2 linked regions of the Caenorhabditis elegans genome follow. The protein of the gene in region 1 purifies or fractionates together with the protein of each later gene. This does not show direct contact. Each region holds a gene or a part of one and is shown in the gene's direction. Other genes may lie near its edges.

Region 1 (3,485 bases):
ATTTTTTTTCGAAATAACTATTTTAAATAATTGACAAACAATGTTTCAAATCAAATATAGAGAAAAAATCGAGAAAAATCGACGAATTTAGCCAGAAAACGCGACAATATCCAAAATGACGTCATTCATTTGTGATTTTCTCAAAATTGAAAAAATCATAAAAAATTTAGAAAATTTTTTAAAATTTTTTTACAGTTATATTCGGTTATTAGGGTCCATTTTCTGTCATTTAAAGCAAAAAAAAATTTTTAACTCTACTCCACCTTTAAATTAGAGCATCATCACTAACTTTTTCAATGTTTTGATATTTTTACAACTTTAGACGAAGTACAAACTGTTGACCAAGATGGCTGCACTGTATTAAAATGTCCCGCAGGCAAAACTCCAGCTGTCTCTTCTCTTTATGATAAAAGTGAAATACCAGCGCCTATTGATGCTGATGCCGATTATATGACGTTTGTAGGTAAACTCTTTTTCAATCTGAATGCTTAAAATTATTTTAGGGAAGTATAAATAAAGATTCAATGGCCGACATCAACGGAGACATGATTTTTGAATATTTTGGAGCAATGTGTGAAGGCGGTGAATTAATATACACAAATTATCCTGATGGAATAGCGTATGTCAAAGATGGAAACATGGCATATACTGGCCCAGATGCATCGTATAACGGAAAGAAGTCTAAAGTGACTACGATCTATTGGTGGGTCATAAATTTTAAAGTTTCTAGGAAAATTTCAAGTTAGATGTGAGAATAAGGTTTTTTTTAACCGCGAAAACAATTAGAATAAAATTTTTGTTTAAAACTGGAAAGTCTTTAAGTTAGTTTCACAACTCTTATCTCATTTTTGTTGTATTTATTGTTTCAGCACTGATCAAGTGTAAATTGGATGAGGATTGAATTAACAATTGATACATCGTATTTCTCATTTGAATAAAACGATTTGATTTAAAAAAAAATAGCATTGATTTTTACACATTCGCGGAATACAATAATCGACACCCCAAGGGTTGAATATGACCGAGAAATGATACTCAAGACGTAAGAAGTTGAGGAGGATGTATAATAAAAATATCACACAAACCAGACAAGTTTGGGCAAGAAATAGCTTGAAAGGGATCTAATTTAGACGTGTCAAGAACGGTTTTTGGCTGACTTTCTCGAAAACGTTATGGCGGTTCAAAGTTTTTATCTGGATAATGTCTTATTTCTACTGATATACTTCTTGAAATATCTGAACTATCTGGTTTAATTTTCTAAACTCTTATCAGTTAGAATTCTAAGAGACCAGTGTAATTATCATATAATGTACCTGCAAATGGATGCAAAATGGATGCTAATTTCCGGCCACTGTGGAATGATAATCACTTTCTATAAAAATTCTGCCAATATCCCAGAAGAACAAGGGCGATGTACTTCAAAATGTACTTTTTCATGTTTATGACTCTGTGTTTGTTTGGCCACGTGGAAGCCAAATGTATTGCCAACACACCATCAACTGTGAGTTTAATGATTTCATAAAAATGTTATTTTAGAACTAACTTCTTAATAAGTATTTTCAAATATGTACGCCTAGTTTTGACGAATGCATAGTTCGACTAAATTGACTAATTTGCTCTTTTTACTTTCGCCATTCCCTTCTCGAAAGTCGATTCGTATTCATTAGCCCATCCGTCTTTATGACATAATTTATTCCTTTTCCAAACCCAAGACCGCTTTATCGAGGTGTTATTCGGGCTTTTATTACTTCTTTTAATGCTTTACGCATAGGAATAGGAATGGATTAGTAGTTAAAATCATTATATCAAAGTTTTCCTCCCTACTTCTCGTTTTATTATGAATACTGTAACGTCATGTTCCCTTCTGTTATGCTTGATGGTAATAACAGAAAGTTGCATGCGAACAGTTCCACCGGATGAAGCCTATATTCCTGTCACCATGGCTCCTGATGTATGTGATTTTTTTCTGAATTTAAACTGCTATGGAAGCGCTTCCAATATTCCAATTTTCTTAAAGAATTGTCATTCGGAAATCTGTTAAAAAATCAGTTTTAAAAAAAATCAAGTATTTAGGAATGCCTGGACATCAAAACTTCGCCGTGTGGAGATTTGGAATCGTTGTTTGAAAGTAAGTCCATTATCCATTTTCGATTTTCTCTCTCCATTATCGTTTTCTCTCTCACACCCGTGGAGCACGTTGAGAAAGACGGCTGCGAAGTGTTAACTTGTCCCGATAACCAAGTGTTTCTTGCACTCTCTTCTTTTGATAAAAGTGAAGTACCACGGCCATCTGAAGTGCCGGAAACCCAATCATTTGTGAGTGAAAGGATAATATCTTTCATCGGAAAAGTATGAAACAATTTATAGCAAATCACCTCAAAATTGACGGGAACCGATGGTGAGAGTATAACTGACCTTTTGGGAATCATTTGTGATGGCGATAAATGGATGATCACGAAATATCCAATTGGATTTGCTGCACCTCCTGCTGGTTTAATTGGTGCAGATGGTTCGATGGATGGGAAAAAATCTGAAGTTTTAAAGTTGGCGTGGTAAGTGGGGGCCTATTTAAAAATTATGATTGTTACTGAGAATTTCAAAAGATTGAAGTAAACTTAGCGTTTTATTCAGTTGAAAACAGTAGTTGTACATATGCAAACTGTTTTGTCTTGAAGAAAAAAACAAAAAAAATTGTAAAATTGTGTTACAAACCTTGAGGTTTGTCTACACTTTGCAGTGAGTTGTTGGGGATTAGCTTGATTTAGAATTAGCTAGATATAGATATTAGCTAGATTTAGGAATCTATAAAAAGTAAACTACACACTGTTATTATGTGGACTTTCAAGTTATTTCCATAGTATTTTTTTTTTGTTTCAGTGCTGATATTTCCGGATAGGTCTATGGATGGAGAACAAGTTACTGGATTATTCATTTACATTATTCTTGTTCTGCGAATAAACAATTTTTGAAACATGTATAATTTTGTGTACAGACCAAAAATGAATATATGTTAAAAAATAAGTTAGCAAAAAGTGATGTCAATTTGCATTCCCGGGTGAAACGGTACAACTCACAATTAGAACAATACATAAATGTATTGAAAAGCATTCCAAATTTTCATCTCGTGATACATGAGCAGTGTTCTAGAGAACACAAAAATATAAGAGTTGAATTTTTTCCCCCGTTTCAGCGACTTTTTATTTATTTCCTTTGTCTTATACAATACTTTCCAGCATGAATTTTTCATACTGCAGACGGGATCATTTATCGTTTTATGACTTGCCTAAAACGCGGATCAAGCTGGCTCTAAAAATAGTGGCTCATAAATTATTTAAGATCTACTAATTTAATTTGAGTCTAGTTTGCCACCTCATGAATTGGAGGAAGAATGCGAAGTTACATTTGTAAATGATATTTATATCGTATTTCTCCTTTGATTAAAACAATTTATTTTGAATAAAGAGTATTAGTTCTTACACAATACA
Region 2 (5,093 bases), on another chromosome or scaffold:
CTTCGGAACTCGCGAATGTGACGTGAAAAAAGCAGTTCCACAAGGAAAACGGTTCCCAGGCGCCCAAGGGCGTATGCCAGGTGGTCGCGGAATGTATGGTGGACGTGGTGGAAATAACAACTCGGGATGGTATGCTGGATGGGGACAAATTGGAGCTATGCCATACGGAGCTACTGGAGCAGCTTGGGGAGACTGGTACGGAAACGGTTATTACGGCCAACAAGGTGCAGCACATCACAACAACAGCGGATCATCGCAAGGTTACGGAAGCGGATACCAGAGTTAGTTTTGTTACTATTTGATTCCATGTCTTGTGACTCATTCCACAAGGAATGCATCAGTATACTTATTCTATCAGGTTTTGCAGGAAATAACAGTGGATTCGATTACCAACAAGCTCAAGGAGCCAGACAGGGCAACAATGGCCAACCACGCTTCCAACAGCAGCCACAACAACAAACTGCTCAAGCCCAACAGTTCTAAATGTGCCTTCAGAACATCACCTCAATCACCATCTGAAATGCCTCCATCACAGTCCTCTTCAGAATTCCTGTTTCCTTCCTACCTAATCTTTCAAAAAATGTCCAAATTGTTTTGTCCTCACGCCCAGACTCAATCAAAAGCAGTTACAAATCGACCCTAAATTTCTAACGCGCGTTTTTCTTTAATTCCTTTTTTGGCAATGACGATCTGAGATGTGTTGTTCCCGAGGTTGAATTTTATATCGAACCAGTTTGTTTTGTTTCTCTGATTCTCACCCAAACTATCATCGACTCTCAACTTTTTTCCGTTGGTAATCTTTGATTTGAATAACTCCAGGAATAATAATAACATACTTTTGTTGTTTTAGATGATGTTCTTGTGAACATAATACTTTATCCACCCGCCTTTTTAGATGTGTAGAAGTACTTTATTTCCATCAGTTTTTTCAGTCATTTTTTGTTGTTTTAATTGTTTCGCTCGTTTTTTCTTTGAGCGATTCTGCGGCAGAAAACAAACTGTATTTTTACTTCTCTTCCCTAAAGTCTGTATGCTTCGCCCCCAATTTTTGTCTTTTAGTTGTTGTTATGGTGCTTTTTCCTTTGTTCAGGAACTGGTAACCAATTAGACTGTGCAATTCACTGTAGTTGTCAAGTATATTCACATTGAATTGTGCAGTTAGTTGTTAATTTCCCTCATCTCATTGAAGTGTATCTGATGAATCGTCAGGTGTCCCGTCTTCGTCTAATCTCACAACACCCAGCCACCCAACAAAAGCTTCTCCCTTTTTCTCCTTCGTTTTTTGCCAATCTCACCCGTAAATTCGCTCCCAAAAGCCCCCCCCCAACCGATTCTAATAACTGCCTCTTCGTTTGACATGTTATTTGTTGTCACATTCGTTTTTAATGTATGATAGATTCATGTCAAACATTTGTGTTGATATTAAGCTGAGAATGAAATTTTTGAGGACTAGTTGTTCTTATATTATCATTAAATTTTTATGCTTCATGAATTGAATGCGAACAGGTGGGTTGCCGTGAAAAATATCTCACTTGGGAACAATAAACTTCAATATTTAGAAGTCAATTTTCAGATAAAATATGACTTCAACTCTAGATGCGTACATGAATCGGATGGTGAACGTGGTCACTGGTGATGGTCGGGTTATCGTTGGACTTCTGAAGGTAAAATATCTAGAAAGAAATGTTGCTTCTGCACTTGGCGACAAAGGTTCGAGCCTTTGTCAAGAAATTTCAAAAATGCAGCACATCTTGATTATTATAAAACACGAGATTTTGAATCCCAACTTTGAAGAAATTGTTCAAAAAGACTGAGCTTATGTGTCGGATTAAATAATTAAATTATGTTACCTTTTAAAATTTCAATATTTTATTCAATTATACAATTTTAGGGATTCGATCAATTAATCAACTTGGTGATTGAAGATGCTCACGAAAGGTCGTATTCTGAGACGGAAGGTGTGCTCACGACACCATTGGGACTATATATTATTCGAGGAGAGAATGTGTAAGTTGAAAATTGACGGGACATAATTTAAAAATCGATTTTACCTTGTCACGGTGCTCTGCTTTTGGAATTTATAGGTTTTCTGCGACTAAAATTAGTTGTTGATGAAGAGTTTAGAAATGTCTCTTCTTGAATATCTACTTCATTTATTCCGATGAATTTTACTTCCGAGTTCCCGTACCACCCAATCCGTGGGTCAAACGATCAACAAACCCTCGAAAACATTGGACTCGGCATGCTTTTCCTTCCATTCCGTGCACATTATCGAAAAACTGACCAATTGTTTCAATTGAGTAGTGGCGGAGCCGCCTGCTTCAGCAAAGAAGCTCTTGATCATGTACGAGAGTGTTAAAAACCAAGACAGTTTTTATTGCTCAAAATCCATGGTCTTCTCTTGTTGAGAGGAGATGTTGGACTTTTAATAAAAGACCGGGTACAAATGTTGAACATTTGGAGCATTTTATCTGGATTTTTTTTTCACATCGCCCCATTAAACCTTATAAAAAGCTTCACATCGCCTTGCTTGTTGCAAATTCGCTCTATCGCCATTCTTCAATCTTTTCGAATCTAAAAACTCGTTGGTCATTATGTACTCTCTATTTCACCCGGTCTCTCTCTTCTGTTCTTTCTTTTGGAGTGCTCTACGGACCAATTGCTTCAAATGAATTATCGATTTTTTAAATTGTCGCGTTAGAATAGTTTCTCTGTGTTAAAACAGATCGACCTAATTTCAATTATCATCAAGAGTTTTTTTTTCTATTCGATTCAATCTTTTCCGATGACATTAATCATCCGTTTTTTATAATGTTGCACCCATGCGATGATAAGATTTAATTGTGGTCGTTGACTATCAGTGCTGAGAATGGAATTTTCTCGTTCAATTCACTTCAAAACGGGTCAATGTTATCATCTCAGAAACATCAAATTGATTTTACTTCATTTCTTCCAGTTGAATATTTTCTATAACGTTCCGTCGACATACCTTCGCCAGTCAACATTGAGTCATCATTTAAAAAAAAAAGAAAGGTGCAAGTAGTCCTGGTACCTGATGTTCTATAACAACCAGATCAAGTGCTTCTGTTGTTCCTTTGATCATTCAGCTTTCGGCAGCCGTCTAAAAACATAGCAACTGGTCGTTTCTTGTGCTCTGTTACGGTCGGAAACACGGAAAAGTCGGGGAAGCATGACGTGTCAAAACATCTCTTCCAATCGTTCGGCATTTTCTCGCCCTCAATCACAATTTGATGCTTGACCAATATGATTGCCCGAAGCCTTGCAGCAGCACCAGCAATTTATTTTGTTTGTACTCTTCACATTTTCGCCGGCAACAAAAAAAAACAACGAAAGAGGGAAATAGTTATAGTGAACGAGAGAACGAATACGAAAATGGACAACGCGATGGGAAAAATGTTGAAAAAGTATCCGTTTTCCTATTCTATGTCGGAGCTTCACAACTTGCTTACTAGGTTTTCAGTTTTCAGTTTTACTTTGTCGTTTCTATCTGAAAAGCGCTTATAGTTAAAACATATTCAGTTAAGTTCCAAACGAACTAAAACTTTAAAAAAAAAACTCCTCGTTGAGCGAATGCGATTGATTATTTTATTGAAGTCTCTAAATTGGCTCTTCCAGTCTCTGTTCAATACCTAATTGTTTTCTGATTAGTTTCATTATATTTATTGATTTTTCGTTTCCGATACACCACTCTTCTCTATACTCCACTCCAAATGTCAAGTGATAAATACTCATATTTCGAAATAGTTTATTTTTGGATAGGATACCCCTTCTGGCCCTATTCATGTCCCATTCAAAACACAATTTTATGAAATCTTTTCTCACTTTTCGTCAGTGTAATATAGCTGGAAAAGATTAATGTAGACATGCGTCAAATGTCCGAAACTTTCACAATTTCACACCTTTCAATTCATTCCGTTCGAACTTTGTTCAAAGAAAATGTGATTCCATGAAAAAAGTGTTCGGAACCTGTTCTGTTTCCCTCTGGAGAGGGGTGGAGAAATTATCGGAACACTTTTTCATTGCAAAAGTTGAAACTAAACTTTTAAAGCTATGATGTATATATATATAAAGACCAATTCTGCAACTACTGTAGATTTTTCCAAATGTTTCTTTTTGAAAATCTATCATTTTTCAGAGCGATTATCGGTGAAATCGATGAAGAACTCGACAAACGCGTTGATCTGGAAAATGTGAAAGCGGCCCCACTTGCACCAATTTGGATTCCCCAATAATTTCCACACAAATCGATATTCTGCATTGACGCGTTGTATTGACTGGTTATTCTCATCGTTTCCCCCCACCATTTCTTCTCCCCATTTAAATCATTTTTCCCAAACTATTCTCCATTCTTTTCTTGTTTCCTTGACGGTTTTGTATTCATACCATCGTTTCTTTACCATTTTTGGATCTCTAATTTCCTCTCAAATATTGTGAAAATTTATACATATTTATTTGCTTTGTTTTTAATAGTTAATGTATTAAATATGCATTTATTCAAATTGCAACGTCATTGTATTTTTTCGTGTTTCAACCGTTTGTTTATCGGTTTAACATTTCTTTTTTTAATATCGTTTCCTCGTTGAACTTTGCCATTTCACAGAAATAACCTTGCAGAAAATATTCCAGTGCTCGATTTCAACGGAATATACGGATCGAAGTTGCAAAATGAGCAGTATCAGAGTGAGTTAAATAGAATGGGGAAAGGATAATTTTGAACAAGAGTTTTTGCGCGTTTTTCAACTTTCCTACCAGAATAAAAGCATAAAGTAAAAATCGATAAACATTTTTTCCAGAACCAGAACGACAATCGTCGACCAACATTCCGTGATCATCGTACACCACAATTTAGCGGTCGTGGTGGTAGTGGTGGTGGCGGACGCCGTCTTCAAAATCCAGCTCATTATCCACAACGCAGAGATATGTCGCCGATTCGCAGATCTTCAGCAATTTCACCAGTCAGACGTTCACAGGATCATCGCCAACGTTCGCCTGAAGTTCGACGTCATCGATCACCGGAAAAGGAGTCAAAAGACGCAGTGGTTGGTAGATTCACACTCACACCCAAAATATCT

The links.
Region 2: the proteins of F16G10.2 (region 1) and lsm-8 fractionate together in Caenorhabditis elegans (co-fractionation; one large-scale study listed by BioGRID). This does not show direct contact.

What each region holds. Positions count from the first base shown.
Region 1 is NC_003280.10:2,373,436-2,376,920, forward strand, and holds F16G10.2 (DUF281 domain-containing protein), read left to right. Parts: upstream 1-1,837; coding exon 1,838-1,951; intron 1,952-2,073; coding exon 2,074-2,316; intron 2,317-2,367; coding exon 2,368-2,552; intron 2,553-2,877; coding exon 2,878-2,896; 3' UTR 2,897-2,976; downstream 2,977-3,485. Other genes in the region: F16G10.3 (Lipoprotein), read left to right, coding at 323-459, 504-703, 870-885.
Region 2 is NC_003282.8:6,324,953-6,330,045, forward strand, and holds lsm-8 (U6 snRNA-associated Sm-like protein LSm8), read left to right. Parts: upstream 1-1,573; 5' UTR 1,574-1,580; coding exon 1,581-1,664; intron 1,665-1,891; coding exon 1,892-2,007; intron 2,008-4,156; coding exon 4,157-4,253; 3' UTR 4,254-4,527; downstream 4,528-5,093. Other genes in the region: sqd-1 (RRM domain-containing protein), read left to right, coding at 1-281, 359-483; Protein seu-1, read left to right, coding at 4,687-4,701, 4,815-5,060.